Danio rerio: one gene and its partner. The protein of the gene in region 2 binds, or shares a complex with, the protein of the main gene of each other region. Links are inferred from orthologs where the notes say so. Each region holds a gene or a part of one and is shown on either strand. Other genes may lie near its edges.

Region 1 (16,252 bases), on a different chromosome or scaffold from region 2:
GGGTGTCAGCGTCAACGCTTCCCATTCACTTTGAATGGGTGATGTCAGGCGTTGCCAAACTGCATTGTGGATCTGGCGGTGCCACTTCAGAGGCGTTGCTCGCTGCAGAAGTTGGGACTAGCTCAACTTTTCAAGCACCGACGGAAGGGTCAGCAAATCAGATCGCTGTGTGCAAATACACCTGCTAGACAGTGGCGTACTGCTTACTGAATTTCATTGGCTGATGCTGCTATGATGATTGCTTTAGCCCCAACTTCAGACACGCCTTCAGTCAAGCGTTGACGCTGATGCCCCGTGTGAATGGGCCGTAAGTGGAAGATGTTCGGAACCACCAGGACTCTTCCTAGAGCTGGCCAGCCATCTAAGCTGAGTGATCGGGGGAGAAGGGCCTTAGTAAGGTAGGTTATCAATAACCCGATGGTCACTCTGTCTGAGCTCCAGCGTTCTTCTGTGGAGAGAGGAGAACAAAAGGACAACCATCTGTGCAGCAATCCACCAATCAGGCCTGTATGGTAGAGTGGCCAGACGGATGCCGCTCCTCACCTAGAATTCGCCTAAAGGCATCTGAAGGACTCTCAGAACATAAGAAACAAAATTCTCTGGTCTGATAAGACTAAAATTGAACTCTTTGGAGTGAATGCCAGGAGTTATGTTTGGAGAAAACCAGGCAACGCTCATCACCAGGCTAATACCATCCCTACAGTGAAGCATGGTAGTGGCAGCATCATGCCGTGGGGATGTTTTTCAGCAGCAGGAACTGAGTGGCCCAGACCGTAATCCTATTGAACATCTCTTGAGAAATCTGAAAATGGCTGTACACCGTTGCTTACCATCCAACCTGATAGAGCTTGAAAGGTACTGCTAAGAGGAATGGGCTAAAATTCCCTAAAACAGGTGTGCCAAGCTTGTGGCATCATATTCAAAAAGACTTGAGGCTGTAATTGCTGCCAAAGGTGCATCAACAAAGTATTGAGCAAAGGCTTTGAATACTGATGTACATGTGATTATTCAGGGTTTTTTTTTAAATAAATTTGCACAATTTCAAAGAATCTTTTTTCACATTGTCATTATGGGGTACTGTGTGTAGAATTTTGAGGAAATAAATTAATTTAATACACATTGTAATAAGGCTGTAACAAAAAAAATGTGGAAAAAGTGAAGAGCTATAAATACTTTGCAGATGTACTGTACAATAACTCTTTGACTGGTCTTTTAGGCTTGGGGTGTCCAAACCTGGTCCTGGATGGCAGGTTTCCAGGTATTTTAGCCCCAACCCTAATCAAACACACCTGAACTAGCTATTCAAGTTTTTACTAGATATACTAGAAACTTCCTGGCAGGTGTGTTGAAGCAAGTTGGACATAAACTCTCCAGAACACTAGCCCTCCAGGGCCGAGTTTGGACACCCCTGTTCTAGGCTATTGTGTATGGTTCTTGGGTTCGTCAAATCACTCTCAAATGCAACTGGGACAAAGGAAGTGCGAATAGTGGCAAAAATGTGCACATACCCAAAGAGCGTGAATAACATTTTATGCATATTATGCATTTTACACTGTATAGTGTATATGGAGATCATTTTTCTTGTAAAAATGCAAGTATGTATGAGGATCATTTTCATTTGAATGTATTTGGTTTAAAACAAAAAATGCACTAGTGTAATTACAATGTAAAATACAGGAAAAAATATATGACGCTGGTTTACTGCGCATCAAGTTTAAACACATTTTAATAGTGTGAATATTAAGATAAAAGGCGAAAAAGTAACTTGTTTTGCTGCAGATTTAATTAATAGAATGAAGAGGAAACTGCATGCCACTATATATGATGTAATGACTTTGCAATAAGACTGCTTAGCCTTATTTAAAGAATCAGACTCTTGAAGTTCTAAAACTATGCCACCCGAAAGCTCTTGTTGTTAACTTTAACAATAGCTTTGCCCTTACTTCTTATTATGACTAATGCCTAATTCATCCTCGGCGTCTAGTTGAGATACATCAAAGGGCCTGTTGCACAGAGGAGCAGTCTCTTGTGTGTCTCACTAACGAGCCTGTCGTGCCATAAGAAGCATGTTTGCTTTAAAGCAGGATGCGTTTGATGTAGAGGCTTGAAATAGAGATGAACCGGAGCTGCTTTCCGATTAACTTCCCTGCTCTCCTTCTGTCTCTTTCCATCAATGTCAAAACTCCAGTCTGTCAGCCAGCACTCTGTCATGTTCCTCGGGCAGCAGCCGTGGATCGTTGACGTCCAGTCGGGGATCCCTGGCCAACTCCAGCTTGGGCTCCACTTCCTCGCTCAGCTTCACCGATGTCTACCTGGAGCAACCCGAACTAGGCGATCCTGACTTCCAGAACAAACTGGACTCTATTTTGCAGGAGGGAAGCACCTCTGGCTACAGGCCTTCTAGTTCCATCACTACCATCCATGAGAATGAGGTCTCATCCTCGTCTGTGCAAATCGGGGGTGGTCCCGGGGTGGGACAAAGAACCCAAGTTCTGCGACTGTCAGAGACACCTCACTCAATGAACTCACTGTCCCCACGTTCTTCACTGTCTTCCCTGTCTCCTCCTTGCTCTCCTCTTGTTACTGAGGCTTCCTTCCTTTCGGGAGAGGTCTTTTCTGGTCCGGCCTCACAGTTGGATTTAGATCTGCAGACCAGGCTGATGGAGCTCCGGTTAGAAGAGGACCAACAGCAGGGGCAGCTGAACTACCAGGACAACAAACAAGAAAGCATTATGGCTGTAGAGTCTTCAAAAGGTATGTGGGCACAACCTTCAAACGACACTCAAAATCAAATCCGCTGAACGCTTGTTAATGTATGTCCATGAATACCAAGGGTAATTTTTCTGCCAAAAATTTAAATTGGATTCTTTATTACTAACCCTCATGTCTTTCCAAACCCCCGAGACTCTCATTTGTCTATGAAGAAGTAAATCATGATGTTTTAGGTGAAATCTTACAGCTCTCTCATCTTCCATAGACAGCAAGGTTCAAGACTTGTTCCAAGTCAATGAATGTTACAAAGCTGATGTACGAATGTTTGTAACTGAAAACAAAAATACAGACTTTATTCAATAGGTACTTCTCCTCAGTATCAGTATATTACGCACGTTCATGCGCATTGTGCAGTAATTTAAAACAATTTGGGACCGTTGATGTCTATGAAAGGTGAGTGAGCTCTTAGATTAAATACCAAAAATGTCTTAATTTGAAGACATTGTCTTAAACTTCCAAAAACAACAACGTTCACGACTTGTTCAAAGTCCAAAAAAGTACCAAAAAGCATCCTCAAAACAGAGCTACAGATGTAACAAAGCTACGAAAATACTTTTGTTTGTAACCGAAAACACTAATGCAGACTTAATTTAACAGTTTCTACTCCTCAGTGTCAGTATATTGCGCATGTTTATGCGCACAGTGAAGTAAAATATACCAAATTGGGACAGTTGCTTATTATGGAGGATGATGGAGTTCTCAGATAAAATACCAAATATGTCTTAGTTTCAAGACATTGTCTTAAACTTTTATAGACAGCAAGGTTTACGAGTTGTTCAAAGTTGAAAAAAGTACCAAAATGCATCCTCAAACTCAGAGGTACGAAAGTTACAAAGCTACAAATTTGTTTTTCTTTGTTACCAAAAACAAAAACAAAGACTTTGTTCAACAGTTTCTACCCCTCAGTGTCAGTATATTGCGCATATTCATGCACACTGTGCAGTAATGTGTAACTAATTTGGACCATTCCTGTGTATGGAGGATGAGGGAGCTCTCAGATAAAACATCTATAATGTCTTAATTTGTTTTCCAAAGATGAACAAAAGTCTCAGGGGTTTGCAATTAACATTTTAAGATGCATTTTTGGCAATCCATTCCCAAGTGTACCACAAGGTGAAAATAGAGCTGGCATTCTGATCAATTTGGCAATTTATTGAGATTTTTATTCATATTGTTTCGATTTGATTTTGCTCTGATTAAAATTATATCTATCCTAAAGTTTTAGTTTCGTAAACCTGGGATATATTTTTAAACACAAATTCTGCTATATTTACATTTGTGAATTTAAAGTAACAAACACTGTAACAGGAAATGATAAATATGTGTATATAGGGGTATTACCAACCTACATTACACATGACATCACATGGGTTCAACCGCGCATAGCTGTTGCAAAAAAGACCAGTTGCAATAGCAAACATGTCTTGTTGTGCGGTAGGATGGCAAAATTGCAAGTCCAAAAATAGAGAACTTAAATTTTACCGTACACCACACTGTTTTTAATGCCAACTGCAGATGTCTTTGGCCAGGCCCGTGCAGAGACTGTCCAAAGGGCATGTGCAGGAAATTATTATTTTTTATTTTTTGAAGACCTGAGGTCGCGCGCGTACTGAAGAGCGGTGTTGTCGCGTTCCTACTGAAGGGCGGTAGAGGGGGGAGGGGGGTGCCACCGGGGCACTTTTGATCATTTTGGAAGGGCACTTTCTGTCAAAGACTAGAAAGGGCATGTGCACTGCACAGGTTGAGCTCTATGTGTGCACGTGCCTGTCTTTGGCTAACAGCCATCATAAGAGCTGAATGGAGTGAGGACCTAATTAAAAATACTAGACTCTGTTCTCATTTTATATGAGTTTAGGTAAAATAATGCTGAATTATACACATTACTCATTTTTAATTACAGCAATGATTTCTGCAAAAACAGTTAAATATGGTTAAATAAACTGCGGACACTAAATACTTAGAATGAAATATAAAAATCTAAGTTCACAAACCCTGCCATACAGGTGCAGTTCCCTGTCAGAATGCAGTTGTTTTGCTTGTTGATGATTGCTCAGGCCTTGCACAGTTCTGTCTTTTTTCCTTGTCTTTGGCTAGGCAGACCTTCGTTTTTTAGCACCACATAGTTTTGAATCTGGTAGTCATGGAACATTGTTTCTTGCACATGACCACAGAACAAAATTGTTGGGATTCAAAGACTTGTAGGCCTTTAGCTTCTCTCTTGTAAAATCACTTGGAGTTTCAATGAGATAGTTGTATATTTTGGGCTGGATGCTTGGCCATTTCGTCTTATCCAAAATCCATTGGCAGTGTTCTATCGCAAATGGACCTGTCAGATGAACGCCGCTCACTTTAACGTTAATTTTGCTGAATAACTGTACTTATCACTGGTTGACAAGCTGTTATAATACGCTGAAAGCATTATGTAAATTCATTCATTTATTCATCTTCTACCGCTTTTCCGGGGCCGGGTCGCAGGGGCAGCAGTCTTAGGAGAAAACCCCAGACTTCCCTATCCCCAGACACTTCCTCCAGCTCCTCCGGGGGGATCCCGAGGCGTTCCCAGGCCAGCCGAGAGACATAGTCCCTCCAGCGTGTCCTGGGTCTTCCCCGAGGCCGCCTCCCGGTGGGACATGCCTGGAACACCTCCCTAGGTAGGCGTCCAGGAGGCATCCGAAGCAGATGCCCGAGCCACCTCAGCTGACTTCTCTCGATGTGGAGGAGCAACGACTCTACTCCGAGCTCCTCCCGGGTGTCAGAGCTCCTCACCCTATCCATAAGAGTGCGCCCTGCCACCCTTCGAAGGAAACTCATTTCGGCCGCTTGTATCCGAGATCTTGTCCTTTCGGTCATGATCCAAATACATAATATGTTATCAATATAACTTATCTCTAATGCAACAACAAACTCTGTACCATATCGGATGTCAATTCCTCACTGTAAATGCTAGTGCTTCTGTTTTTTCTGCAACCTCGCTGCTTGCGCATCTTGAATGTTTACAAACTGGTAATTCGTCTATAGTGCACACAATCTAAGCAAAAACCTGCATAATGCACATTAAAGGGCAAATATAAAACATTGATAATGTGAAAATGTTAAAAATGTGCTTTAGTAAAGTTCCTTTTTAGAATACAGAACATATTTGCCTGTAAAGCATTTCTCTGGACATTGTGTAAAATAAAAGCATACTAATAGTCCATAAAACTAAACTGTAAAGCAGTAATTTTTTAAGTTAACTAAATTAACTTTTCTAGACATACTCAAATCAATCAAACTGACTAAACATATTAAGTTAAACTTTGTATAACCTAATGTAGTTTTTCAGTGTAACAGTCATTTACTATAGCATAGATAGCTAGTTTTATAGGTTTGTTGATGCAAAATGTTACCCTGTGTCTACATCAGACATGGCTGGAAACTTGGATGTAACAACGCCACCATTGCAGATCCATTAGTCCTTCTGTCAGTAGCGCTTGGAGCTTGTCTGAAATAGAAATAAGGGTTTACTGATTATAGTGGATTCTGTTTCTAGTCGCTTGGTGCCATAGCCTGGTCTAGACATAACTCTTGCAGGCAAACCCTCATGACTGTGTGCAGATCTTAAAATTTATTACAACAATATGTTCAGGCTGTAAAATTTGAAGTGATGTGACTCAATAGTAATAATCCAGTGAATAAACAGAATAAAAAGAGTAAGAATAAAAATAAATGGTTCATTGAGTATTCAGCTGAGAAATCGGTTAGTCTGCAGGTGATTTTGTTGTTTGTACTTTGCATATTTTGTTTATTACAGTTAAAGTCTTTTAGCTCTTAGTTCCATTCGCTCTCCTCTTAAATTTAAACTTTTTCAAATTAATTTAATACATTTTGTAATTATAGAAAAATCCCCAAATTCTGTTTAACTGAGAGACTTTTTCAACATATTTCTGAGCATAATGGTTTTTAATATTGCATTTTTAATAAATGATTTCTTTCATCTGACAGCTTTACCTGTTACCCAGCATTAGAGTCGCACAATTAATCAAAACAAGATTGCGATCTCGATTTGACCCGCTAGACGATCTTAAGCCAGCATTTCTACGATTCTACCAATCATATTTTCAAGTTCAGGAGAGAAGCGATGGCAGCCGTGCATGTCTTCACATTGTTTTACATACATTGTTCAGCAACGTGGACACCAATGGTGTTGAAAGAGTCACATACTGTATTTATAAGGTATAATTCACCTCAAAAATGCCATTTTTGTCTTCATGTAATGTTGTATTCACGGCCTCAAGGACATTTTAACAGTATGTCTGATAATATTTTTTCTTCTGGAGGAAGTCTTATTTGTTTTATTTTGAATAGAATAAAAGCAGTGTTTATTTTTTGAAAATCATTTTAATGTCAAAATTATTAGCCCCTTTATGCTATATTGTTTTTCGATAGTCTACAGAAGAAACCATCGTTATATAATAACTTGCCTAATTACCCTAACCTGCCTAGGTAACCTAATTAACCTAGTTAAGCATTTAAATGTCACTTTAAGCTGTATAGAAGTGTCTTGTATTTACTATATTTAATGTCATCATGGGAAAGATAAAATATATCAGTTATTACAAATGAGTTAATAAAACTATTATGTTTAGAAATGTGTTGAATAAATTTCCTCTCCGTTAAACAGAAATTGGGAAAAAACAGGGGGGTAATAATTCAGGGCGGCTAATAATTCTGATTTCAACTGTATATCCACACACATAACAATTGTAGAAAACAAAATATTCTCAAATTTTACTTGAAAAGGTATAAAATATGTTTAAAAAAAGTCTTCATCTTCATCATGGGCACCCTTTATTACTCATCAGCAGCCCGGAATTCCAGCTGAATCCAGATCAGCTTTCTGAATGTCTAGTCCGATAGTGTAGATTTACAGCTCACTCCCCCCCAACAGCCCAGCAGGTGAACTCAGTCGAAACTTGACACCAATCCAGAGTGACTCGTGTCTCATTTCTTCTCAACTGTTCTCTGTGCATGCAGATGCTGTTACGCAAACAAGAGGATCAGGGCCTGGATCGAAGAAAGCAGGAGTAACATCTGCAGTGTCTGACGAATCGGTTGCAGGTGACAGCGGTGTATATGAGCCCTCGGAGAAAAGGTAGGATACAAGAATTTGTGACCTTTTATTATGGATTTGTATTTAAAATGACAAATTGATTAATTGGCTAATGATTAATTGAGTAATCATTTTATCTGCACAACTTATAAATAAGTGCATGGATGGGGACACTAATAATCCAATTTTAATATGATTAAGACAATGCTCAAGGTCGTATTCGAACTAAACAGAGATTGGATTAAGACATGTGGATATGCCAATTTTAATCACATTATTGAAGTGCATCACAGACATGTTTTTACCACCGTGTTTGATTTTCATCGCATTTTGCTACAGGATAGTCTAAACACTCAGCTGTTTGACTATTTTTTGCACCAACCGAGAGACCTGCATTGCAAAATGCTGAGTTTTTTTTTTTGTCCTTATATGGCTTACACTATCAAATTCCATAAAAACTACATTTTTCTAGCAGTTCGTACTCGCATCCAATATCTAGTTTGTCACGGCTGACGTTCATGAAATGTTCCTGAATGAAAGTAAAAATGAAACACCTGGAATTACTTGAAACTCCAAAGGAAATGTACAGTGAATCCGGAAAGTATTCATAGCACTTCATTTTTTCCACGTTGTTTTATGTTACAGCTTTATTCCAAAATAGATTCAACTCATTTGTTTCTTCAAAATTTGTGATTTGGAAAGGCATATGCCTGTCTATATAAGGTCCCAGGGTTGACAGTGCAGCTTAAAGCACAAATCAAGCATAAAGACAAAGGAATTGTCTGTAGAGGAGAACCTTACAGAAGTACAACCTTTGTGCAGCAATCCACCAATCAGACCTGTATGGTCGAGTGGCCAGACGGAAGCCACACCCTGCCTGGAATTTGCCAAAGGGCATCTGAAGGACTCTCAGACCATAAGAAACAAAATTCTCTGGTCTGATGAGACTAAAATTGAACTCTTTGGAGTGAATGCTAGGCGTTACATTTGGTGAAAACCAGGCACCGCTCATCACCAGGCTAATGCGCTCCCTACAGTAAAGCATGATAGTGGCAGCATCATGCTGTGGGGATGTTTTTCAGCAGCAGGAACTGGAAGACTAGTCAGGATAAAGGGAAAGATGAATGAAGCAATGTATAGAGATCTCCTGAATGAAAACCTGCTTCAGAGTTCTCTTGACCTCAGACTGGGGCGACGGTTCATCTTAAAGCTGGACAATGGCCCAAAGCACACTGCCAAAATATCAATGCGGTGGCTTCACAACAACTTGGTGAATGTACTTGAGTGGCCCAGCAAGAGCCCAGACCTAAATCCTAACATCTCTGGAGAGATTTGAAAATGAATGGACACTGTCGCTTCCCATCCAACCTGATAGAGCTTGAAAGGTACTGCAAAGAGGAATGGGCAAAACTTCCCAAAGACAGGTGTGCCAAGCTGGTGGCAACATATTCAAAAAGACTTGAGGCTGTAATTGCTGCCAAAGGTGCATCTGTGACGCTCAATAATCAGGACGTGGAACCCAATTGCAAGTGAAAGTGTTTTAATGAAGATCACAGAAAAAGACAGAGAAAATGGTGAGTGGCTGGAAGTACACAGTCTTTTAGCAGGAATAACAGTAGCGATCTGGGTCGGCAGCGCCGATAGAAAGTTCATGACACTCGTCAACAGAGTGAATCAAACAGTCATCATCAAAGGAACCGGAAACATCTGAGAGTGAAACGAGGAAGCAACCGAGCCACTCACCACCAGCGAGAATCAGCGAGAGGATCCTGACAAAAGACAAAACACCGTGAGCATACAACGAACTGACAAAGTGAGACAGGAACGCTGAACATTTATAGGCACAAAAATGCGCTACACCTGTAGCGCGCTGATTAACAGCCGAGCGGTGACACGCAATAGTTCCGGTAACAAGGATCATGTGACCGCTCAGCTGATGCCACGAAAACAAACACCCACTGACAGGCACGCGAGTCCCACACAAGCACAGAGAGAGAAGCACACACACTTAGAAACACATACCATAAATGATAATGAACTGTCACACAACGCAGACACTTCAAATGAAGAGCAGATAGATCCACAACCGTGACAGCATCAATGCATCTAGCAAAGGCTGTGAATACTTATGTAAATGTGATTTTTCCAGGTTTTTTTATTTTTAATAAATTTGCAACAATTTCAAAAACTCTTTTTTCCACATTGTCATTATGGGGTATTGTGTGTAGAATTTTGAGGAAATAAATGAATTTAATCTATTTTGGAATAAAGCTGTAACATAAACAAAATGTGGAAAAAGTGAAGCGCTATGAATGCTTTCCGGATGCACTGTAGGTAGTGAGATGATGCAATGACGTCATTAATGACGAATTATGTGCTGTAACATGTAAAACGGAATCATGAAAGGAACATTCAAAAAGCAACTCATGTAAACACCTTAATCAAATTAATGTCTTCTTCAGATTAAGGTAAATCATTTGATTACTGATGTCCATGTAAACGTAGTCAGTGATATAAAAGACACTTTTCAAATTTTATTTTAAAGACCAGGCTATTGTACTAGATGCCAAAAAAGGTCACTTTAGGTTGACACACTTGTATTTTTTTTAGTTATTTTTTTGCAGTTGCAATTTATGCAATTTTAAAGTCTTAGACAAGATTTGTATTAGTAAAGTTGTTGAACATTCACTGGTTCTCTACTCTTTCTTCAAAGAATTCAAAACATTTGTCACGCAAAGATACCGATGCATATTAAATAATCAGTTGTGAAAAAATGCAAAGCAATTTAACCATTTATGCTTTGTTCTCTTCTCTTTTCAAAAAAGAAAGTGGAAATATTGTGTCCATTCAATCCATTCCACATTATCAAAGAGCTGCATGGATCTCAAAATTCAACGTTTATTTCAGGAAATCTGTGGAATTTTTGTACTTGGTGCAGAGAATATTGTCAAACAGCTGTGTGTGTATATATATATCATCCTGTTGCAAAATACGGTGAAAATCGTACATTTCGGTAATAGTTTGATTGAGAGTTTGATTAGGACCTTAATCGAGTTAAATTAATCAAAAATCGCTGTTTACATGGTAGACTCTTAATCAGACTCTTATTGGTGTCCATGTAAACGTACTCATTGTTTTCCACTTGCACCAAAAAGTGCTCTCTTGCTTTTCTTTTTTTGGTCATCAAACAACTGACAACTGCCATGTGTGTGTCCTGTCGTAAAATGTAGTGAAAAGTACTACCAAACGGTAATAGTTTGCTTAAGACAGCGCTCGAAAATTCCGATCATTTTGGTCGGATATGTGCCCGAAATTTTATCTATGCGAAATCAAAATATATTTTATATTTTAACATAATTTTTGGTGGGTGCGCCTAAATTTTGACCTGTGCGTCTGAATTTTTAAAGTTAGGAGCACCGGTGCTACCAAGAAGAAAGGTGCATTTAGAGCCCTGTAAGGTGTTTACATGTCTTCAATAATGTGACTAAAATTGGCATACTCCACATTAGGGTTCGGCGATGTCGACCAATTTGGCATCGTACGATGTCTAATGTAAAACATCGCGATGGACGATGGCATCGTCGTCATAGGCGGAGGTGAATTATTATTTATGAATAATTAATTAATTCATAACGAATTAATTATTTGTAGCCTACCGTTTCAACTACCTGACCCGCATATTTTACCCATAAACAAATCATAAATGAATAAAGATAAGTTGCACACAAATTACCACCTGTCAATCACTTTTTCAGCGGAAGGTTGGTCGGTAAAAAAAGTGCACAACAAACAGTATCTGAGGTTTTCACTAAAATTACTAAGTACAAGTGTGAAAGTGAAAGACTGAAGCAGTGTACTGATGCTGTGACACGTTACCTGATAGATTCAAAAGACCAAAGAGTCGTAAGATAGAGACAAGATTAATTTAATATCACCTTTAACAACTATAGTGAGACGTGATCCAGCGGTACATCCTTGACTGTCCGATGTGCACTGCTCACTAGAGCTCAGACGAGCGCATGACAGTGTGTGTGGCTGTCTGTGTGCGTGGCTGTGTGTGTGTTGTCACATGATGTGCGTTTTCAGCTGACGGAGGGCTGTTTAGAAATGCTAGGTAAAACACGGTGTGGATGTGGATCTTTGTCGTTCTAAAAGGCCATTTTAATACTAAGACGTATTAGTGTTTCGCGAATGGGTTTGCGACGGAAACGGGGCGGAGGATTGGCGATACCGGCTCAGCAACGTGTTTTCTATTGGCTATCTGCGATGGACGATGGCATCGTCTAACGGCCTGACCCTACTCCACATGTCTTAAATAGATTTCTGTTTAGTTTGATTATAACTTTAGTCAGTTATTAGGGTAAACAAAAATCGCTGTTTACATGGTCAACTCTTAATCAGAGTATTATCTTAATCATATTAAAATCTGAGTATTGGTATCTATTTAAACATACTCAGTGTCCCAAATTAAGGTTAACATTTAATTGATTAGTTTATTGTTAATTTAAACAGCCACAGTTCATTGGAATTTTTTGAAACTGACATCCCTGATTTGGCTGTAAAGTGCTTCTGTTCATTTCCACAGGCCTGGGCTTCCAGTTGAGCAGCTGCTGGCTTTTGATGACGGGAGCTCAGCAAGCAGCGCTCAGATCAAACTTGGCCTGAAGTACGAAGTGAAAGAGAAGAGGTTCACCGTGTTCGTAATGCAGCTCTCCAACTATAGCGCGCTCTCTCTGCCAGCCAACCAGAACATGTGAGAAAGCGCTCTCTTCCTGCCAGCTTCATTTAAACATGATGGAGTCATTAATTTTAATCAGATGTAATTTTGATATAGCATCGAGAGGAGCAGGTTGAGTTGTATGAATAGATTTAACCCATTCGGCTGCTGCAAAAAAACTTTTAATTTTGACTTTTTTCCTTGAAGTTGAAAACAAACCAACATTTTTACTTGATTTTTAGATATTCGGATTGACACATTTTAGCTTTTGAATTCAATAGATAAGGGGAAGGCATCTAAGTCGGGACAGTTCCTAACCAGCAATTTAAGACAAAAATTTGATGTTTAAATGGTAGCACTTTAAAATAAGGTTCATTAGTTAATGCATTTACTAACATGAACTAATCATGAACAACACTTGTACAGCATTTATTAATCATAATTGAACATTTACTAATGCATTATTAACATCCAAGTCCATGCTTGTTAACATTAGTTAATGCACCATGAGTTAACATGAACTAACAATGAACAACTGTATTTTCATTAACTAATGTTTATTAACATGAATAAATACAGTAGTAGATGTATTGTTCATTGTTTGTTCATGTTAGTAAATGCAATACTTAACTTTTACTAATGAACCTTATTGTAAAGTGTGACAGTTTAAATCTATACTCCTTGTTCAGGTTAAACAGCAAAGAAGTAATGCTTTCACAAAAATAATGGTATATGAAGTAGCCAGTCATAATAACTTTTAGCAAGCCTTATCCATAATAGTAAAACAGCAAAACTTCATCCCTACTGTTAAGAATTGTCTTGTCTGCTTTCAATTTTAACATATGATGTATGATGTTGTAGGCTATAAGTGCCTTTAAAGGGCATCTATGGTAAAAAATCTACTTTTCAAGCTGTTAGGACAGATCTGTGTGTTGGTATAGTGTATAGACCGTCATACTGGGGTGATATGAACACACCCAGCCCTTTTTTTTAAATTTAACTACAAAAATAAGGGTCTGCCAATTGGAGCTGTTTTCAAATCGATCGCACCATTACGTAGGTGTGCGATCCCCCCGCCCACCGAATTGATTGACAGCTGCGCGCATTAACATGTTCCGGTAGTCGCGTGTATATGTCAACAAGACTAGGAAGACATACGCAAAGCAACCGGGAATAAAAGCTCTGTTCTGTTCGCTAGGATCAGCAATTATCATCAAATTTGATTAAGAGTAAGTTTCACATGTTTAAAGTGTTTTAAAACAGAGTATGTGTGTAATTAATTACAGCAATTTACTTGAGCTTTACTTCATCAGCACAGCCGCGTGTCAGAACAATTATAAAAGAAGACGCTTCAATCCCGGTTTGTGGAAGTTAAATCAGGTTTATTTTGTACATTAGCATAACAGATATCCACACAGTACTTGAGGTTAGCCCTAACTAAGCTAAGCGTGCTCTGTCTGTCTGCCTGCCTGCCTGTGTGTGTGTGTGTGTGTGTGTGTGTGTGTGTGTGTGTGTCATCTGCGGTGTGTGTGTGCGCGGGCGCGCGCGTAAACTTTGTAACGATATTGTGTGTGACTCATCAATGCAACTTCACAATACTGATTAGTAAAAGTTAGTTCTTACTGTAGTATCTCACAAAAGCTACGTGAGACCTTCTTCCTTTAAGTCTGTCTGTTGTCTGACGCAGCTAAGGGAGGAGGCATGTAGAAATAGTGGGCGGGAAAGACTCGTCTTAAAGGCGCAGAACGACAAAACCACCCCCTGCTGGAAATCAATATAAAACAGCATCTTGTAAAAGGTATAATGAAAAATCTGATGGGTATTTTTATCTGAAACTTTATATACACATTCTAGAGACGCAAAAGACTTGTATTAAATCTGAAAAAAGGGGTAACCTAGGTGCCCTTTAAAACAACGGACATTGTTTGTTTAAGTTGATCTCTTAAAATTGATCACTTTAGAACGTTCAACAACTGTTAAGATAGTATAAATAGTCACCTCTGTAGAATATACAGTACATACAAAATCACATTTACAGTGCATCCGGAAAGTATTGATAGCGATTCTTTTTTTTTTTTTTCTTTGTTTTTTTTTTGATGTTACAGCCTTATTCCAAAATAGATTAAAATAATTTACTTCCTCATTATTCTACACAAAATACCCCATAATAACAATGTGAAAAAATATTTTTTTGGAAATTTTTGCAAATTTATTAAAAATAAAAATCTTGAAAAATCACATGTACATCAGTATTCACAGCCTTTGCTTTGAAGCTCTAAATTGAGCTCAGGTACATTCTGTTTCCACTGATCATTCTTGAGATGTTTCAGCAGCTTAATTGGAGTTCACCTGTGGTAAATTCAGTTGATTGGACATGATTTGAAAAGGCATACACCTGCAATGTGCAGAGACATCCTGAATGAAAACCTGCTGCAGAGTGCTCTTGACCTCAGACTGGGGCAACGGTTCATCTTTCAGCAGGACAATGACCCAAAGCACACCGCCAAAATATCAATGGAGTGGCTTCACAACAACTCGATAAATGTCCTTGGGTGGCCCAGCCAGAGCCCAGACTTAAATCCTATTAAACATCTCTGGAGAGATCTGAAAGTGGCTGAACACCGTCGCTTCCCATCCATCCAGATAGAGCTTGAGAGGTACTGCAAAGAGGAATGGGCAAAACTTCCCAAAGACAGGTGTGCCAAGCTTGTGACATCATATTCAAAAAGACTTGAGGTGCATCAACAAAGTATTAAGCAAAGGCTGTGAATACTTATGTACATGTGATTTTTTTAGGTTTTTTATTTGGAATAAATTTGCAACAATTTAATTAAAATCTTTTTTTTTACATTGTCATTATGGAGTATTGTGTGTAGAATTTTAAGAAAAAATGAATCTAATCCATTTTGGAATAAAGCTGTAACATAAAAATGTGGAAAAAGTGAAGCGCTATCAATACTTTCCGAATGCACTGTATATTGCATAATAAAAAAAAATAAATAAATAAAATAATAATAATAGGTTGCATGCGTCAAATCTGGTGTTTGAATTTTTGAAATGAATCACAACTCTTTGAATTGACATTGTATTAATTCAAATTATTTTTTGAGTTCCGCTTAGTTCAGATCCTCTGATTGGCCAAATTCTGTCTAACTTTAGAATGTTGAATGTATGTGTCTCTGATGGAAAAGGAGCACCTGTGATCTGAGTTTGCCTTGCCTTAATTTGTTCTGTTGCAGATATGTTCGCGTGGTGGTTCTGCCATGCTCGGAGACCGTTCGCTGTCTGTTCCGCACACACTGCGCTCTGCCACAGGAGCCCGTAGAGTTAAAGGAAGCGTTTAGCCTGCAGGTGTCCTCCACTGCTCTCCGACAGAAGACCCTGCGCATTGATGTCTGCACCACCAGCAAATCAGGCCGCGAGCACTGTCTAGTGAGTGTCAGATCAGAGAATGAGCAAATGGCTAAATGTCAGTAATGTGATACGTTTGGAATTCTATGGGACATGATCTTGATTTTTTTTCATTTCCATTTTTTACAAGCAAATTGGCCGCTTCTGTTTTCCGATTTTATTCATTTATTTGTTTTTAATAATCACAATCACTTTTAAGCTTAATAATCAATCACCAGCTAAGTGTGAACTCTTGAAGCACCATTAATTTAAAGCAAAAATCT
Region 2 (16,825 bases):
TAACGCAAACACGTTGAGCTGTTCGGAATATAAAATTAAGCCCATGTTAAATCATTATTACACGGCTGTCTAGAATACTGGATTCTGATGGGTCAGTCGTGACATTCCAAGGCATGTTATTCCCAGATAACAAATGCCGAATAACATGGACTCATTCTGGAAGTGAGAATCACCCTGACCAGTGAAAATGCTCACATGCATTAACTAACATCCACATTCATGTGTTCAATTGAAGAATTAATAACTATTACAGTTTTAATGTTTTTCAGGAAGTTGTTTTCACAGAAAAAAAACATTCAGTCTTTTACAACAGTCCTCTGCTTTGTGCCAATAAGCCTGTAGGGCTTTCTTTTGTTATAACTTTCTGAATGTACATTATCCGTTGGGATTCATTACATGGCATTTATATGCAAACTGAAAAATGCTGTGTGAAAGCTGTGAGCTCCCGAGCATTTAATTTGCATTAGTGCAATGCTGTTTCATTATGTCAGGGTTCCACAGAACACTTTCCTGTTATTAATGGCACGCTGCTGTCAAATGTTTATGCAATGGATTGCATGCATTACTGTGCTTGTTTAACATCCCTCATATCAGTGAACATGCTCATGTCATATCATTTACATCAATATTTCATGTCAATGCATTTTTGACTGCAAATAACTTTGTAACAATTGGGATAACGTACAGCAGGTCACATCAAGACAGGTGCACTGCACATTACGTTGGAAATAAAGTACATCCAAGATGATGTTAATCGCAGAATAAAGCCCAAACAGGTTTATCAGTAGCCCAAAGCAAAGCACTGTTATATAAAACTGAAGAGTTTATTCTGCAAAAACATCCAACTTGGATGTACTTATCCCCCTTACTAAACAGGTTCAAGCCACAAAACATAAAAATTAGGCACTAACCATTGTTCTGAGCTGTAATAGTTAATTAATTCCTTAGTTAAACTGACAGAATGCAAACAGCTGATGGAGTATACACTAACCTGCACATTATTCAGACACAAGACGGCACTAAACAGGTAAAAACTATTTTAAAAATGCGGCGTGACAGACAAGCAGATACACATGAAAGTGGATGTAAGTATATGGATGTGAACGTATTCACTGACAGTCAAGGTGATTCTCAGTTCCTGGATGAGTCTGTGTCATTCAGCGGTTGTTATCTGGGAATAGCATACCTTGGAATGTCACGACTGGCCAATCAGAATCCAGTGTTCCAGACAGCAGTATAATAAGGCAGGCTTAGAATTATGGGTGCAATGATGCAGATCAATCCCAGTTTCAATGTCACAGTTTCAGTACAATTTGATATACATTCAGTAAAAAACAGGACACTGTCAAATAAAATAAAAAAAACTATATCTAATCAAAAGAACAAATAAATAAAATACTATTACTAAAACAAACAAAAACTAAAGCAGCACTGTACATGTGGCACACGTCACTTTCACGTGAATGTGTCCATAACTGCTGGACATTGTGCATGTCATGGACATATATTTAAACATGCACAGAGCCAGTTCGGAGGATAAATAAAATGCAAGACTGAAACATGAACGTCGTACCGAGTTGTATTATATTAAGTATTGCGGCATAACTGCTCAGAACAGACTATAACTTATAAAAGAACATGAAATGAACCTGAAAGTTTAATTCAAGCCACAGAATGTAATCTTGGCCACTAGAGGGCGTGTATTCACAATGAACAAAGGTTTATTTTCATGACTGAGTGTGGAATCATGGGAGTTGTGGTTTCATCATCCTACCGGAATCATGTTAATGGATGGAACCCTTATTATTAACAGTTGTAGTATGGTAGTACAAGTGAAACACTCCATCTCACTAGTTAAAACTGATAACTACCCTGATTCAGTTACTATGACCATTTATGTGAAGCTGCTTTGACACAATCTACATTGTAAAAGCGCTATACAAATAAACCTGAATTTAATTGAATAATAGGGTATATGCGGAAGTATGCTAAAGGACTTTTAATTTGCCAGTAACCTAGGTTAAGCGCTTCCGGTGAACTGTGCGGCATAGCAAAATTGGCTTGTTTAAGGTCTGTTTTCTTTAAAAATAAGCGATCTCCACTGGCTGAGTGATATATGATATAAAGTGGGTCTCAGATTGTACAAGAACTGCATTAAATTACATTTCCCCCTGCCATGTCTTTATAATATAAGCATTTATTTTAACCCAGTATATTCGATGACGCTTCTGCGATATACTGCCGATTCTGACGGGAGCGTGCAAGTAAACGACTTTTTGTCTCGTTTTACGCTTGAGCAACTAAATGAATGTCAAAATCTATTTAACTGAAAATATTTTGATTACATTACAACATCAATGCTGTAAAAGGAACCGTATAAAATGGATAACAAGTCACATTAACCGTTCACCAGATGTTTATCGGTATGAGAAGAAACACTAGCTCCGCATATACCCTATTCCTCTTGATTTGAACAATCTGTATAGCTTTTAGCATAATTCAGTACCCAAGTCAGCAAAATATTTGTTTTAGTATTTTTTTTTATTATTATTTTAATGACAAACCGTAAAAGTTGTACCTTTAAAGTTTGGTCTAGATGTCTGCCAAAAAACACCAAAATCTGTTTTGTCAACCAATATGCAAATCTGGCAATTACACAAGAAATGCAGAGCAGTAAATCATATAGACAAAATATGTCCACCATCACACCCACAGCATTAGAGTATGACACGTCACCGAGTTCACTACAACAACCAGTGCTGGTCCGGCAACATACCACGACAGTCATTCCTCAAATAATCCAAATTATAAAGTGACAGAGGGAACATTCCTGATACAAATGATTGATACACCGCGTTTAAGGTTGAGAGGACACAAAAACAGCTCACTTCCGTACATTCGGCTCCGATTAAAGGGATAGTTCACTCAAAACTGAAAATTCTGACATCATTTAACCATCTTTCACTTGTTCCAAACGTGTTTGACTTCTTGTGTTAAACACAACGGAAGATATACTAAAGAAAGGTGGAAAACTGTAACCATTGACCTACATAGCACAGCACAGATTTTTTATTTAATGCCATGTCAGCAACTATTTTATGCAAAAATGTGAAAAGAAGCGTCTCAGCAGAATGCAGTCTATAGAGACTACAGTGCTCATTTGTGCTTCATCTAAAACTCCATATTTATAATCCTCTCAGTCGCTGACATTATCTTCAGCAGCTCAAACACTCTAATAGTGAACGGCTGCTTCTCACTCAGGGCTGTGTTTGCTATTGAAGGCGAGATGGGCTGTTTCTCAATATGCATTCTTGTCTGTACTTTCGTTCTTGTGTCCTCGTGAAAGTCATCAACCGTTACCGAAGTACTATTCCAATTCAAAAGTTCACATCTTGCCAGAGTACAGATAAAATTCCCGCATGTGTACTTGTTCCGTCCCTTTTATCCGAACTTGAAGCGCAGGTATCCCAGAATGCATTGCAGCCCAAGCAGGGAAAGCTAATGGCGAAAGATAAAACCCGCACGATTTTTAAAATACTCCTCTGTTGTCACCAAATAAAGTTTTTAGAGTTTTTCAGGCGATAATATAGTTGTTTTAAACTCGAATCGACAGTTTGTTTATAAAAATAGCGCGCCTTTGGCGATGTGGCTCAGCTTATGCGGACTCTGATGCCCCATTCACATAGGGCTTCAACAACAATGCTTGACTGAAGGCGTGTCGGAAGTTGGAGATGAAGCGATCGTCATAGCAGCGTCAGCCAATGAAACTCAGTCAGCATTAGGCCACTGTCTAGCTGGTGTATTTGCATACAGCGATCTGTTTGATTGACGCTTGAAATCGGCGCTTGAAAAGTTGAGCTAGTCCCAACTTCTGCAGCGAGCAACGCCTCTGAAGTGGCGCCGACGGATCCACAATGTAGTTCGGCAATGCCTGACATCGCCCATTCAAAGTGAATGGGAAGCGTTGACGCTGACGCCACCTTGTGAATGGGGTGTGACCCTCAGCCTGTCAGCGAGAACTTAGTCATCACCTCCTCTGCCGTAAGCTGCTTTAATCGGCCAGTCTATCTCGGATATACCGCATCTCTCCATTGTAGTTAAAACATGATATTTGATTCATCTTTTGCATATCTAATGGACAGTTTTTGGTCATTTATATTTATTATTTGTTCTCAGGTGTATTATTTTGTCAGTGTTATTTTGCTAGGGTTTATAATAGTCTTTAATTATGTTACTATGTTGTACGAGGTTTGTCTTTGTTTACCAAATTGCCTAACGTTATCTTTATTTCTTATTGTGCACGTCTTGTACTTTATACTTGTATAATTTCCATTGTAGTTTATTAAATCTGATAATCAAAGACATGAGTCTGTGTATAATAACACATTTTACTTTACATTTATATGGATTTGTTTACATTTTCTAAAATTAAAAAAAATATTGATTATATTATAAATATTAATATAATATTATTTATAAGGCTGTGCTTTATACAATTAAATCATTTTATTGTTAATGTACAGTGAAACCGATAAATCCATGGTGAGGTAAGTGACGCTATAAAGTAAACTGCTGTTCCATTTCTGTCATCGGGAGTTCGTTCTTCCAAGTCTGAACTTTGCGTACTTGGTATTGAGAAACAGCCATGGTCACTACTCACTAGTGGGCGGGGCTTTCCCTCTCTGATGACACGTACAAAGGAAGAATGTCAATCAAAGTGTTTCTGCAAGTTTTTATTAATTCTGATTATAACAAATAGTTTTAATAAATGCTTACCCTAAAGGCTGTAATCGAAAGGTTGCAGGTTCAACTCCCATTCCTCTGGAAGTAATGCTCACTGTGTATTTGTGTGCATGCTCTTAGGATGGGTTAAAAGCAGAGGACCAATTTGGAATTTGTGTAAAACCATGCTTGACAAGGCCCACTTCTATAGAAATTTGTGGAAATTGACATCCTAGCAAATTTTCATGTTTGTGTGAACTGCCCCTTTAAAACTCAACCAGCTGCATTACCTCATCAAAGCCGGGCTCCTGCGTCTGGAGTGTGTGTTTGCTGCTGTCTGCGGAGCTGTTGTCTCCGCTGGAGGAGCTGTCGTGGGCGAACGGCTGCAGGGATTTGCGGATCTCCTGCAGGGCTCTGTGGTGGTGGGAGTTTCTGGGGTTGGTGCTGCGCCCCTGCTGTCGGGACTCATCCGGCGGGCCCTTCCCTGAGCTCTGCTCCGGCTTGGACGCATTGGAGGACGGGGAGAGGTTTCGCAGGCTCTCTCGGATCTCCTGCAGCATTTGCTGACTGTTGCCGCTGTTGTTGCTGGCAGGGAACGTCTTGGGTCGCATTTGTCTGTATCCCTCGGGTTTCTCGGCCCTCCTCATGTAAAAGCATATGTTAAGTGCCAAGGCGGTGAAGAGCGAAGCGGTCCAGAATCCAGCGTCTGTTTCAACTGCAAACTGAAGGAAACACTGATGAGCGGTCATCAACAAAAATAAACAAATATTGTCATTCATTCATTCATTCATTTTCTTGTCGGCTTAGTCTCTTTATTCATCAGGGGTCGCCACAGCGGAATGAACCGCCGACTTATCCAGCATATGTTTTACTCAGCAGATGCCCTTCCAGCTGCAACCCATCTCTGGGAAACATCCATACACACTCACACACACATACACTACGGACAATTTAGCCTACCCAATTCCCCTATAGAACATGTCTTTGGAGAAACCGGAGCACCCGGAGGAAACCCACTCCAACACTGGGAGAACATGCAAACTCAACACGAAAACGCCAACTGACCAAACCAAGGCTTAAACCAGCGACCTTGTTGCTGTGAGGCGAACGTGCTACCCACTGCGCCATTGTGCAGCCCCAAAAAAATAATAGAAAAATCTAAAAATAATTAAATCACTAATTTTGTCAAACCTTTGTAATTAAATCTGTAAATAAATTTGAAAAATGTTGGAAACCTGTAACCATCGACTTTCATGGTATTTGCTTTTTTTCTACTAATGATGTCAAGTTTCCAGCTTTCTTCAAAATAACTTCTTTGGTGTTCATCAGAATTAATAAACTTATAACTTTTGGAACACTCGAGCGGAAATAAATAGCGAGTTAATTTTCACTGCTTGTTTGTTTGCAGAGCAAAAAATTGTCTTGAAAACTGGTGACATAAATACATCCATACAAACCGCTAAAAACACAAGCATAACAACAACAACACATCATATGACAATTATACAAGTTTAAATATCACTTAGACTCCTTTCATAATCAGTTAATTCTCAAGAAAATAAATAATAAAATTGCTATTAAACAATGTTACGATTTAAAATCACAACCGCAATTGGGACTGGGCATGGTATAAGCTGCTATAAGTTTGATAACCTTGGATAAAAACACCACGGTGTCAGGGTATTGTGATTACTGCTCTAAAATATACTCTTTTTAAATGTCTGGGTAAAAACTGGGTTCATCTCGTCAAATTTAAGATGTTTTAAGACCTTTTTAAGACAAAATCAATCAAATTTCAGACAATCACAGGGCAAAACGCTAACAATTTTCTGTAATAACAGTGAAATGTTTTGTACTTGCCAAATTAAAAATTAAAATTAACTTATTTCTCAGCCACATATTTTAATAAATTGTGTCAAAACAAGCAAACTCTAGTTATATACATATATATATGTTTTAGCCCAACCTTTCTTTAAAAAAAAGACTATAAAAAACTATAATAAACAGGATTTTTGCACAAAATAATTACATTTTTTTAAATGTAATTTTGTTTTCTAATGTTCAATAAAATGTCTTCTGAATTCTGAGGTCTTAATCAAGGTTAATTTTTATTTTCAATGTAACTACACCAACATTACAAAACGCTATATTTTGATGTAATTTTTTTAATCGACACTCACAATGAGATACTCATCTACAAGTCTTCTGAAAATCAAAGCAAAACAGAATATTTTTCACAAATCCAATGTAGCATGAACAAAAAATATTATAGCAATGAGAAATAGCAAAAAATAATTAATTGAAGACAATCAGAATGCCTCAAAGTTTTAAAAGCTACACAAAACAACATTTATAAATGTATGCATTAAAGCATGAAAACATGGAGAACTTTTAAACAAATGTTATTGTAAGGATGTAATGAAGACAATTAAACCATATTGCTAAATAGTTATTAGTTAATGTTAACTTTGCATAAAAACATGGAGAACTTTTAAATGAATAAATTAAACTGCATTAATTTAAATATATGTTATTGTAAGGATGTAAGGAAGACACTTAAACCATATTGCTTTTCGATTTTAATTCAAATTCAATTAATCTGCACACTCCAAAAAAACAATAATAATCAAAAGGATAAGAGTTGGCGCTCGATAAAACAAAAATTATAGATTTTATTTAATTTATTATTTTTAATATTTATGAGGAAAAAGTGTCATTATAGATGTGACAGATGTGAAATTGCCACTTGTGTAACTTCGGTAAATCAAATTGAATAGTTTGAAAACATTGACACATGCAATTTTGGGTATTTCTAAAGTACTGTAAAATGCTTGCTTACCCAAAAAAAACCCTGAAACGGTGTATGTTCTTTGGTGAAAACTCTCTTTTTTCCATGGCAAGAATGACATTTGCATGGGATTGTCCTCCTACAACTAACAACAACACTGATAAAAAATATATAATGTCAAAGATCTTTAAATGTGATCACTGATTAATAATCTTGAAAGCCTACATCCTTATGGAAACATTTCAGAAGCAGAGTGGGTTTTAGGGAGAACTTTATCTGCTATAAACATTATTTCTAATATTGCATAATCAATAAGTATTTTTATTTAAAATAAAAAAAAATTGCATAATCAAATAATAAAAAAGTTAAGAAAATTAAGCCTAGTATGCTGCATGCATTGCGTTTCTTTTTCTAGATTTTACTGTTTTTTTAGTTATGTTAATAGCTCACGGTTTAGATCCTGCTTTTCTAAAGCTCACTAGCCCATAAACAATGCAGACTATAAATAAATAGCCAACTGAGTGACCAAAAGCAGTTACTGTTGTGATAAACGGGTTACTGTAAAGGGATAATCAAGCCAAAAATTATAAATGTGTCATTATTTACTTTCCATTCACTTGTTTCAAACCTGTGTTTGTTTATTCCATTGAACACAAAAGATCAACATTGAAGAAAGTTGGAAACCTGTAACCATTGACTCCCATAGTTTTTGTTTTCCCTACTAGTCAATGGTTACAGGTTTCCAACATTCTTTAAAATAAATATTTTATATTGAACAGAATTGGAACCGCTTGCGGTAAATTAACTTAAATAATGAATAAATGATAACTTTTTACATGAAAAATCCCTTTAAGCACGAGTCCCCATCCTCACCTAGACAGCATCACTAAGTAGGCACCTCAACAGGTTTTTGAAACACAGTCCCAGCGTTCAGTAGTTTCACACAGTGCTAACGTTAGCTCACTTAGCCACTTACTATCGCCACACAACACCTTTAAACCCCCCAACCATCATTCACACCATATAAAATCCCTTTAAACCTGATAAATCATTTATGAATCGCTCCAACAGGTGACTGAGGCCTAAAGCTGAGGCGATAGCATACCGCTACCACACACCGAATAATAAGACGAACTACATCCACCTACCTGCTAATGCGAGCTCGGCATGACGCTTGTACAGGTGTGTTTCTCTCCGTGCTGTTCGATAATCAATAACTCCTGCTCGGAGTCTGACAGATACGTGTGTTTGTGGACGCACCGCCTGCTTCTCTTTGGTATTTACTGTCGTCTTGAGTTTTACAACGGCTGTCATGCGCGTCACAGGAGCCCGGATGTTGTTGTTAAGCCCCGCCCCCTCAGGAGCCGTCTTGAGGCCCGGGGCCCCTCTGGGCGCCTGCAGCTTTATTATATGGACACAGTTGCATAACAAGAGTTTTTATGCAATAATATGTTGATTGTAGCAGTTTTATATACACAAATGTAGATTTGTTAAAGATACTCCCTGTTACACAGCGCTTAAAATTAGTTGTTCATTGGATGAAAGAACATTTGAGAGCAAGCGCCGTCAGAAACAGCAGACAAGCACAGCTTTGAAAATACTGTGGTAACATAAATATTCATATTTTAAAGATCAGAAAGAGTTGAGAGAGTGTGGAAAACGCAAATAAAAAAAAGTAGTGATTTCTTAATTTACTTTGACTTGTGTTTTATTGCCGACAATACTACAAACATTATTTAATGTGTTCCTTGGGATTTTTATTGTTGTTTTTTTTGTAAATAAATCTGTATTCCAATGAGGTGACACAGTGGATTCATCTTTTTAAAACGAAGTATTGATTTCTTAATTGACTTTGACTTGTGTTTTATTGCCGACAATACTACAAACATTATTTAATGTGTTGCTCAGGGTTTTTATTGTTGTTTTTTTGTTTGTAAATAAACCTGTATTCCAATCAGGTGACACAGTGGATTCATCTTTTCAGAATGATTTTTGAAATTATACTTATTGCAAGTTTTAAATAATAAAGATAAATATGTTTTGTTTTAAAAAATCATTTAGCATTTTATACGAGTAAAATATTGTATTTTATTAAATAAAAAATATACCAGTTATAGTTGCATACGTTGGCACACACATTTTAAATAAAAATCATTAAAAAAATAACATGCAGTAACACAGCCAAGTGTAAAGTGTTTATGTAGATGTAATTGTGTAGATTTGTAAAAATTTTGTCAAAATAAACAGTCAAATCAAGCATACAGTACAGTTAAGGTCAAACGTTATAATTCTTTTGGAAAATGTCATTAATTTATTATTATTTATTATTAATTTATTTATTTGCCAAAATAAGAGGGATCACACAAGACATATGCTTATGTAAATGCAAACTTTAATATATTTCAGATAAAATAGAAAATTTTATCTGGATAAAAAATTCCCCTATATATGAATTTCATATAATTGATTATAATGATTCTTAACCCTGTTAAACCTGACTAAATTTTCACAATTTTTGGAACTGAAATGTTTATTAATCCTTCTATAAAGATCCATTTTTATACCATATAGCAGAATTCACCAACATGGTGCCCGCGAGGATCACATGATTGCCTGTGGGCCTGTTTTAAAATGAGCTTACCATAGCACCACATACCAGTAAGCTGCATCTAATGTTTTTTGAAGCTACAGTATTCTTTTTTAAATCACACTCGCATTGGTGTAAAATTGAAAATGACATAAAGTTATATATTTAAAAAACTTTAAAAACAATTTCAGACAAGTGAAGTGTTGCATATTGATATTTATCTTTTTCCAATCAATGTTGACAACTATTGTGAGAAATCATTAACATGATCAGTGCCTTCACATAGATGAATATCTATTATAATAATATTATCTATTATTATATAATTATTATTAATAATAATTGAGCAAATTTGTTATTAGGAAGTGTGTATCAAACTGGTAGCCCTTCACATTAAACGATACCCAAGAAGTAGCTCTCAGTTTCCAAAAGGTTGGTGACTCCTGCCATCTATCTTGATTTTGCATCATATTAATACATCAGGCCTTTTTTGCTCAAAACTATTTTAGTTTACAAAAACAGTTTGCCCATAACATTTTAATAAAATAGAACATTTCAGGCAGGTTTTCTCTGTTTATTTTTTACACAGTACATTTTAAAGTCTTTGTTTCAGTCAATTGTTAATGCAAAGACAGACCTTAAACCTCGCATGTGGGAAGTGATTGCATTCGTATGTTCTTTTGCCCTTTAGGACTCCCTTATAAATCATTTTGTTTTCACAAATGTGCAAAAAGTACAGAAGCAAGGCATGTCAAGGTGTCACAATCATTTAGTGGGGAAAATTAAATTGAGAAGAAATTTGGGTTGGGATGAGAAGTAATTCTTTGTGACTTAACAGGCTTAGTGTAATTATGCTTTTATACTTCATACTATTTCAGTTGTGTTCGGTTTCAAAACTAGAACCTGCATACCTATCAGTAAATGTGCAGTTGCGCCCCTGGGCCCGGTTTTTCAAAAGGTTTAATCCGGATCAAATTTATCTGGATTTAGTAATCCTATTTTTGCCATCCGTGATGACGTAATCCAGCTTACTTTTTGAGCCAGTTTTTTTAAAGCAACATCGGATTGGATCAATCTGATCCGGATAGGAACTTTTCAGGATCACTAAATCTGGATAACCAGCGCTCAAACAGGACATCACAATGTAGAACTATAGATATGTAAAGAGCAGCTAATAGAATAGGCACCTTGGGGCCAATATAACTTCATTTTTATTTGAAATGAAAACACACACATTTGAAAAAAACTAAAAACAAGAAAAACCCCACCCCATCCTCCTCCAGCAGACAACTCATCTGAGATCTACAACACAAACACTACATTGAGGATATTTATAACAAGTTTCAAATATAGATGTACTGAATTTAAAAAAAGACTTAATGTCAAAACCTCCTGAGCTGTGCTTCTGCTCTTTCAGTCTTTTTTTGCATATGTTGAAAGTGATTTTAAAAATCAGCGATTGCCATTCTTTGCATTTTTCGTTTTTTTTTCTAGTTATTCTGTAATCATTGCATGCATCACTAATAAATATTCTGAAAACTAAAATATTTTTCATTGTGATGAATATATAGATTAAATATATAGATATCAATTAGAGACCGAATAAAATTGATTGCTTTTGGTCAATTTTTGACAGCTGTTTGGGGAATTATTTTATGGGGCCAAACTCTTTCTACTTTGCTGTAGGCCTATACTGAGAGGCTGAATACGTTAAAGCCTACTGTAGCCTGGCGGAGGAACAAATACAATTAAATCCTTACGAATAAATAGGATATCTTGTAAGATACTGCATGATCTAAATATAGCATTATTTGATGAATTTTGTAAGTTTTCATTACATTTTGGGCATGAAATCCACTCTGAATCCACCCTTCTGATGGGATCAGTTTAATCCAGATTTTTTGGATCAAAGTGATCCAGATCCTACAAAAAAAAAAGATCTGAAAAACCCAAACTAAAGGTTTGATTCGGATCAAAACCAAGATTGGATTACGTGATCTAATCCGATTATGTAATCCGTTTTTTCTTTTGAAAAACCCATTTTCAAGATTTGATCCAATCCCTTATCCAAAATCCCCGTGGATTACTTTAGAAAAACCGGACCCAGGGCTACTTGATTTCGTAGCTACTTTGGTTTTACTACAGTAAAAACATAGTTAATGTTCGTATGGGTGTACCTGGGTTTATTCCTTCAGTTTTAAATAGTTTACTAGTGTAAATGAAGTTTTGCCTGTCGTCGCGGCGGTGTTTTGTATGCTAATGGAGTTTCGACACCGCATTGTCTCGAATCTCCCTGATGACCCACACTGGCCCTGATGTCTGTTCGACAACACGTGACGCCATCAATACATTTAATCTACTCTGCTGATTTTAACGGCAAACAGGACCATATAAAAGAGCAGACTCGACTCACTGTCTAGCACATCGTCTCAGGACATCGAGGCTGTATTTGGCAGAAAACAAACCTTAAAAACACCCCAGTCTGCGGATTATTCAGCATCTCCGAGGACTCTCAGGTATTGTAGTTGTGCCTTTTTAAACCCATTGTTTACGTCATACTATTTTTACAATTGGCTGCCAATTTTAGGCAACATTAAACAAGTGACGTGTTCGCTTTAGTTACATTTTTATATGCCAATAACTGAGTTAAGATGCGTTTGAGTAGGCTAACAATGTTTGTTTCAGCTACTTTAATCAATGCAATTTAGATTAGTTGAGTCAATATAACAGTCTTAATTTTGCTTCAGTTATAGTAATTAACCACACTTATTTTACATTTCATGCAATAAAAAACAAAAACGCTGGATCACTGGTGTAACTTACTGGTTTAATTATGACATTTTCATTGTGATTTTTGTTTTGAACCAAAATAAACCTCGTTAATGTGAATATTACTATTATACTGTTTACTTTACTTGCACTGTAAAAATGCTGGCTTCCGCTCAGTTTTTGTTAGGACAACATAAAGGAATTAAGGTTAACTTATTAGTTTTTCCAAATGTAAGTGATTTGAAAATAAAATAAGTAACTTAAGCTGTTAAACAACTCAAGAGTTGTAATGTTTCAGCTCATTTAAAATGAGTAGTTTGTAGTTTTTTTGAATGCAAGTTATATAAATGAATCTTAATATGTTAGTTTGTAGAGAATTTAACTTTATTATTCCAGTTCAGGGTACTTTAATAATGTTTAATAAAACTAATAATGTTTTCTGTCAGTCACTTGTGTACTAGACTAGTACACAAGCTGAGCTCAGAACTGCATTTGGATTACTCTTCTGCACAACAATAACCTTATAACTAATAATATAATATAGATTAATAGAAATAATAAATCTAAAAAAGAGAGAGAAATCTTTCATCTATTCACTCTTTGCTTGTATCAAACATTCCTGTTGAGCACAAAAGAAGATTCCCTGAAATATGTTGGAAACCTGTAACTTGTCTTCCACAGGGTTTGTTTTTCCTTCTATTGAAGTCAATGGCTACAGGTTTCTAACATGTTTCAAAGTATCTTCTTTTGTGTTCAACAAAAGAATCTCCTAATGGTTTGGAGTATGTAGTGAGTAAATCTTATTTTTTTGAGTGAACTAATCCTTTAAATTAAAATGACCAACAGTTTTATTCTGAGTTTGTGTTTCCTAAAATCTCCTCTCTCATGTCTGTGTTTTCTGGAAGGCTTTCAACGCAGCGCTCTACATGGCTCTGTCAGGAGAGGTGTGTGTGGTGACGGGAGCCTGCGGGTTTCTAGGAGAAAAGCTGGTCCGACTGTTGCTGGAAGAGGAGAATCTGTCTGAGATCCGGCTGCTGGACAGAAACATCCGCTCAGAGCTCATACAGACGCTTGAGGGTTAGTGGACATGAACATTACACGCTCTGCAATATCAATCCTGTAATTAGTTCTTTAATCTTTATTAGTTTTGTGCTCTCATCTTCTGTTTGTTGGCATTCTTCCTAAAAGAGAGACTTTAGTCTATATTAGGTGTTTGCTTCGACATACAGCCTAAAAGTCCAATTAAACTATAGTGTGTATTTAATAGACACTAATGCCTGAAAGTGAAGGATATGCCTACTGAAAAAAACAGCCTAGGCTGGTTGGCTGGTTTTAGCTGGTCAACCAGGCTGGTTTTAGAGGGGTTTTGGCCACTTCCAGGCTGGTTTCCAACCATTTCCAGCCTGGTCTTAGTTGGTCAGGCTGGAAAATGACCAGCTAAAACCAGCTTGACCAGCCTAGCCAAGCTGGGATCCCAGCCAAAACAGCTATGTCCAGCTTAGACTAGGCTGGTCAAGCTGGTTTTAGCTGGTCATTTTCCAGCCTGACCAGGCTGTTAATGGCTGGAAACCAGCCTGGAAGTGGCCAAAACCCCTCTAAAACCAGGCTTGCCAACCAGCCTAGGCTGGTGTAAGCAGTTTTTTTTTCAGCAGGGATACAGAAAACAAAATCTGTTCTGCAAAATTCATCATTTATATCATATAAAACAACTGCCATCGCTTCAAGGAGGCTGTCTTTGTTCATCTTTTGTTGAAATAGCCCATATTAAAACACAATTCCTGACCTAAATTATTTATTTTCACCATACTGGAGCCCATCATGGTTTACTGCATGCCAGAATCCAATCATTATCCATAAAAACACTGAAAATAAGTTTGAATCATGAACTAATTGAATTAAATGTATGAGTTCGGTTCACTGACATGCATCTATATTAAACAAACAACACAAAAGCCGACATCCTTTCTTCTAATACCCTTTTAAGCGTCCAAAAATGCATGCAATTGAATGTGTTGCTGCTCTGTGTGCTCAGATGGCCGTGGAGAGACTAAAGTGAGTGTTATTGAGGGGGATATCCGAGACCGAGAGCTGCTGAGAAGAGCTTGTAAAGGAGCAACTCTGGTTTTCCACACTGCGTCTCTCATTGATTACAATGGAGCCGTTGAATACAGTGAATTACATGCAGTTAATGTTAAAGGTAAGGGTTTCGTGTGTGTATAAAAGAAGTTTTAATCCTAACACCTGCAACTTAAATTTGTGAAAATGATGAAGTTAACTTAATCGATTTGTGTTGGGACAACATGAAGAGATTGTGTGCATCCCAGCACTCTTACAGTGTGTTTCTATTGTTTGTCTTCCTACGACAGCTACACGGCTCCTGCTGGAGACCTGCATCCAACAAAGCGTGTCCTCCTTTATATACACCAGCAGCATTGAGGTAGCGGGTCCCAATCGCTGTGGTGAACCCATCATCAACGGCCACGAGGACACGCCTTACTACTCTTATCCTATCAGCAACTACAGCAAAACCAAGCTGGAGGCGGAGCAGATCTGCCTTCAGGCCAATGGAGAGCTGCTGCGGGACGGAGGACATCTGGCGACCTGCGCTCTCAGGCCCATGTTCATCTACGGGCCGGGTTGCAGGTTCACTTTAAACAAACTCAGAGATGCGATCCGCAGTGGAAACGTGCAGCATCGACTCTCACAGCAGAGCGCAAAAGTCAATCCAGTGTATGTAGGAAACGCCGCCCTGGCGCATCTGCAAGCAGGACGAGCGCTCAGAGACCCGGAGAAAAGAGCGGTGGTGGGGGGAAACTTCTATTACGTCTCAGACGACACGCCGCACATCAGCTATTGTGACTTAACCCATGCTCTCATGTCACCTTTAGGATTTAGCATCCAAAACAAGCCCATTCTGCCCATCTTTCTGCTGTATCTTCTGGCGTTCTTCATGGAGATCCTGCAGGCCGTGCTCCGACGCGTCCTGAGATTCACTCCACCCCTAAATAGGCAGCTAGTGACCATGGTGAACACCCCTTTTAGTTTCTCCTATCAAAAGGCTTGCAGGGAGTTCGGGTACAGTCCTCGATATGACTGGGAGGAGGCACGCAGGAGCACTACTGATTGGCTGGCGTCGGTGTTACCAGCTGAAAGACGATTGGCTAACAAGACTTGAGCGCTCGTGATGGTTATGATTAAGACTACCCTGCAAAACGTGCTCAGTTTTTCCTTGTTTCTAATTCACATCTCTATAAAATCTTCAATCGAAAAGCATATATGGGCATGTAAACATGGTGGTGTGTTCAGAGTTTGTGTGTTGAAGCTAAATAATCTGCTGGTGGTGTTAGTACAATAATCCCACCTCACACTGAAAATAAGATTATTCACCCCTTTTGGCTTATTTTTTTGCTTGTCTAGAAAATGCCTCTTGATTTAAGCGTTTTTAAATATTTAGACTTGAAAGCCAGACAGTAATTGTTTCAAGTCCAAATATCTAAAGTCTTAAATCAAATTGCATTTTCTAGATGAGCAAAAATATTGTCTTGTTTTCAGGAATAGGAAGTCATAATGAAGTGAGTTCTTCCTTTAAAACAAGCTAATCAATCTGCCGATAGGTGAGGAAAATCAGGGGCGCAACTACACATTTACTGAGGGGTATGCGGGTTCAAATTTTGTGTGATCCCTCTTATTTTATATTAATTAATTAATAATAAATGAAGACAAATTTTCAGATTAATCTTATAACTTTTGACATTATGTATGATTTGATAGTTTATTTTGATAAAAACAAAAGCAAATCTAAACAGTTACATCTACATGAACACTTTCGGCTGTGGGACTGCATGTTATTGTGTTAAATGATTTTGAATTAAACAATAACAATATTATATTCGTTTAAAATGCAAAATAATGTTTTTTAACAAAACATATTTATTTATTTTTATTATTTGAAACTTTTA

Evidence for each region.
Region 1: the proteins of lats1 (region 2) and wwc1 are in contact, whole or in part, in a crystal structure (PDB 6J68), measured with the Mus musculus proteins. The link is inferred for Danio rerio from reciprocal best matches to the Homo sapiens genes LATS1 and WWC1. Residues at the interface, in NP_034820.1 of Mus musculus: Ala546, Glu547, Ala548, Pro549, Ser550, Tyr551, Gly553, Pro554, Pro555, Pro556, Pro557, Tyr558, Leu562, Leu563; in NP_740749.1 of Mus musculus: Asp17, Tyr23, Ile25, Asp26, His27, Arg30, Thr31, Thr32, Ser33, Trp34, Asp64, Val67, Tyr70, Ile72, Asp73, His74, Lys77, Thr78, Thr79, Gln80, Ile81.

The regions. Positions count from the first base shown.
Region 1 is NC_133196.1:40,164,027-40,180,278, reverse strand, and holds part of wwc1 (protein KIBRA), read left to right. Parts: intron 1-2,188; coding exon 2,189-2,754; intron 2,755-7,785; coding exon 7,786-7,903; intron 7,904-12,446; coding exon 12,447-12,614; exon of another isoform or gene 12,615-12,948; intron 12,949-15,817; coding exon 15,818-16,010; intron 16,011-16,252. UniProt on the Homo sapiens protein: Regulator of the Hippo signaling pathway, also known as the Salvador-Warts-Hippo (SWH) pathway.
Region 2 is NC_133195.1:1,305,299-1,322,123, forward strand, and holds the start of lats1 (serine/threonine-protein kinase LATS1), read right to left. Parts: upstream 8,816-16,825; 5' UTR 8,659-8,815; intron 5,445-8,658; 5' UTR 5,370-5,444; coding exon 5,013-5,369; intron 1-5,012. Other genes in the region: hsd3b2 (3 beta-hydroxysteroid dehydrogenase/Delta 5-->4-isomerase type 2), read left to right, coding at 14,874-15,063, 15,233-16,041. UniProt on the Homo sapiens protein: Negative regulator of YAP1 in the Hippo signaling pathway that plays a pivotal role in organ size control and tumor suppression by restricting proliferation and promoting apoptosis.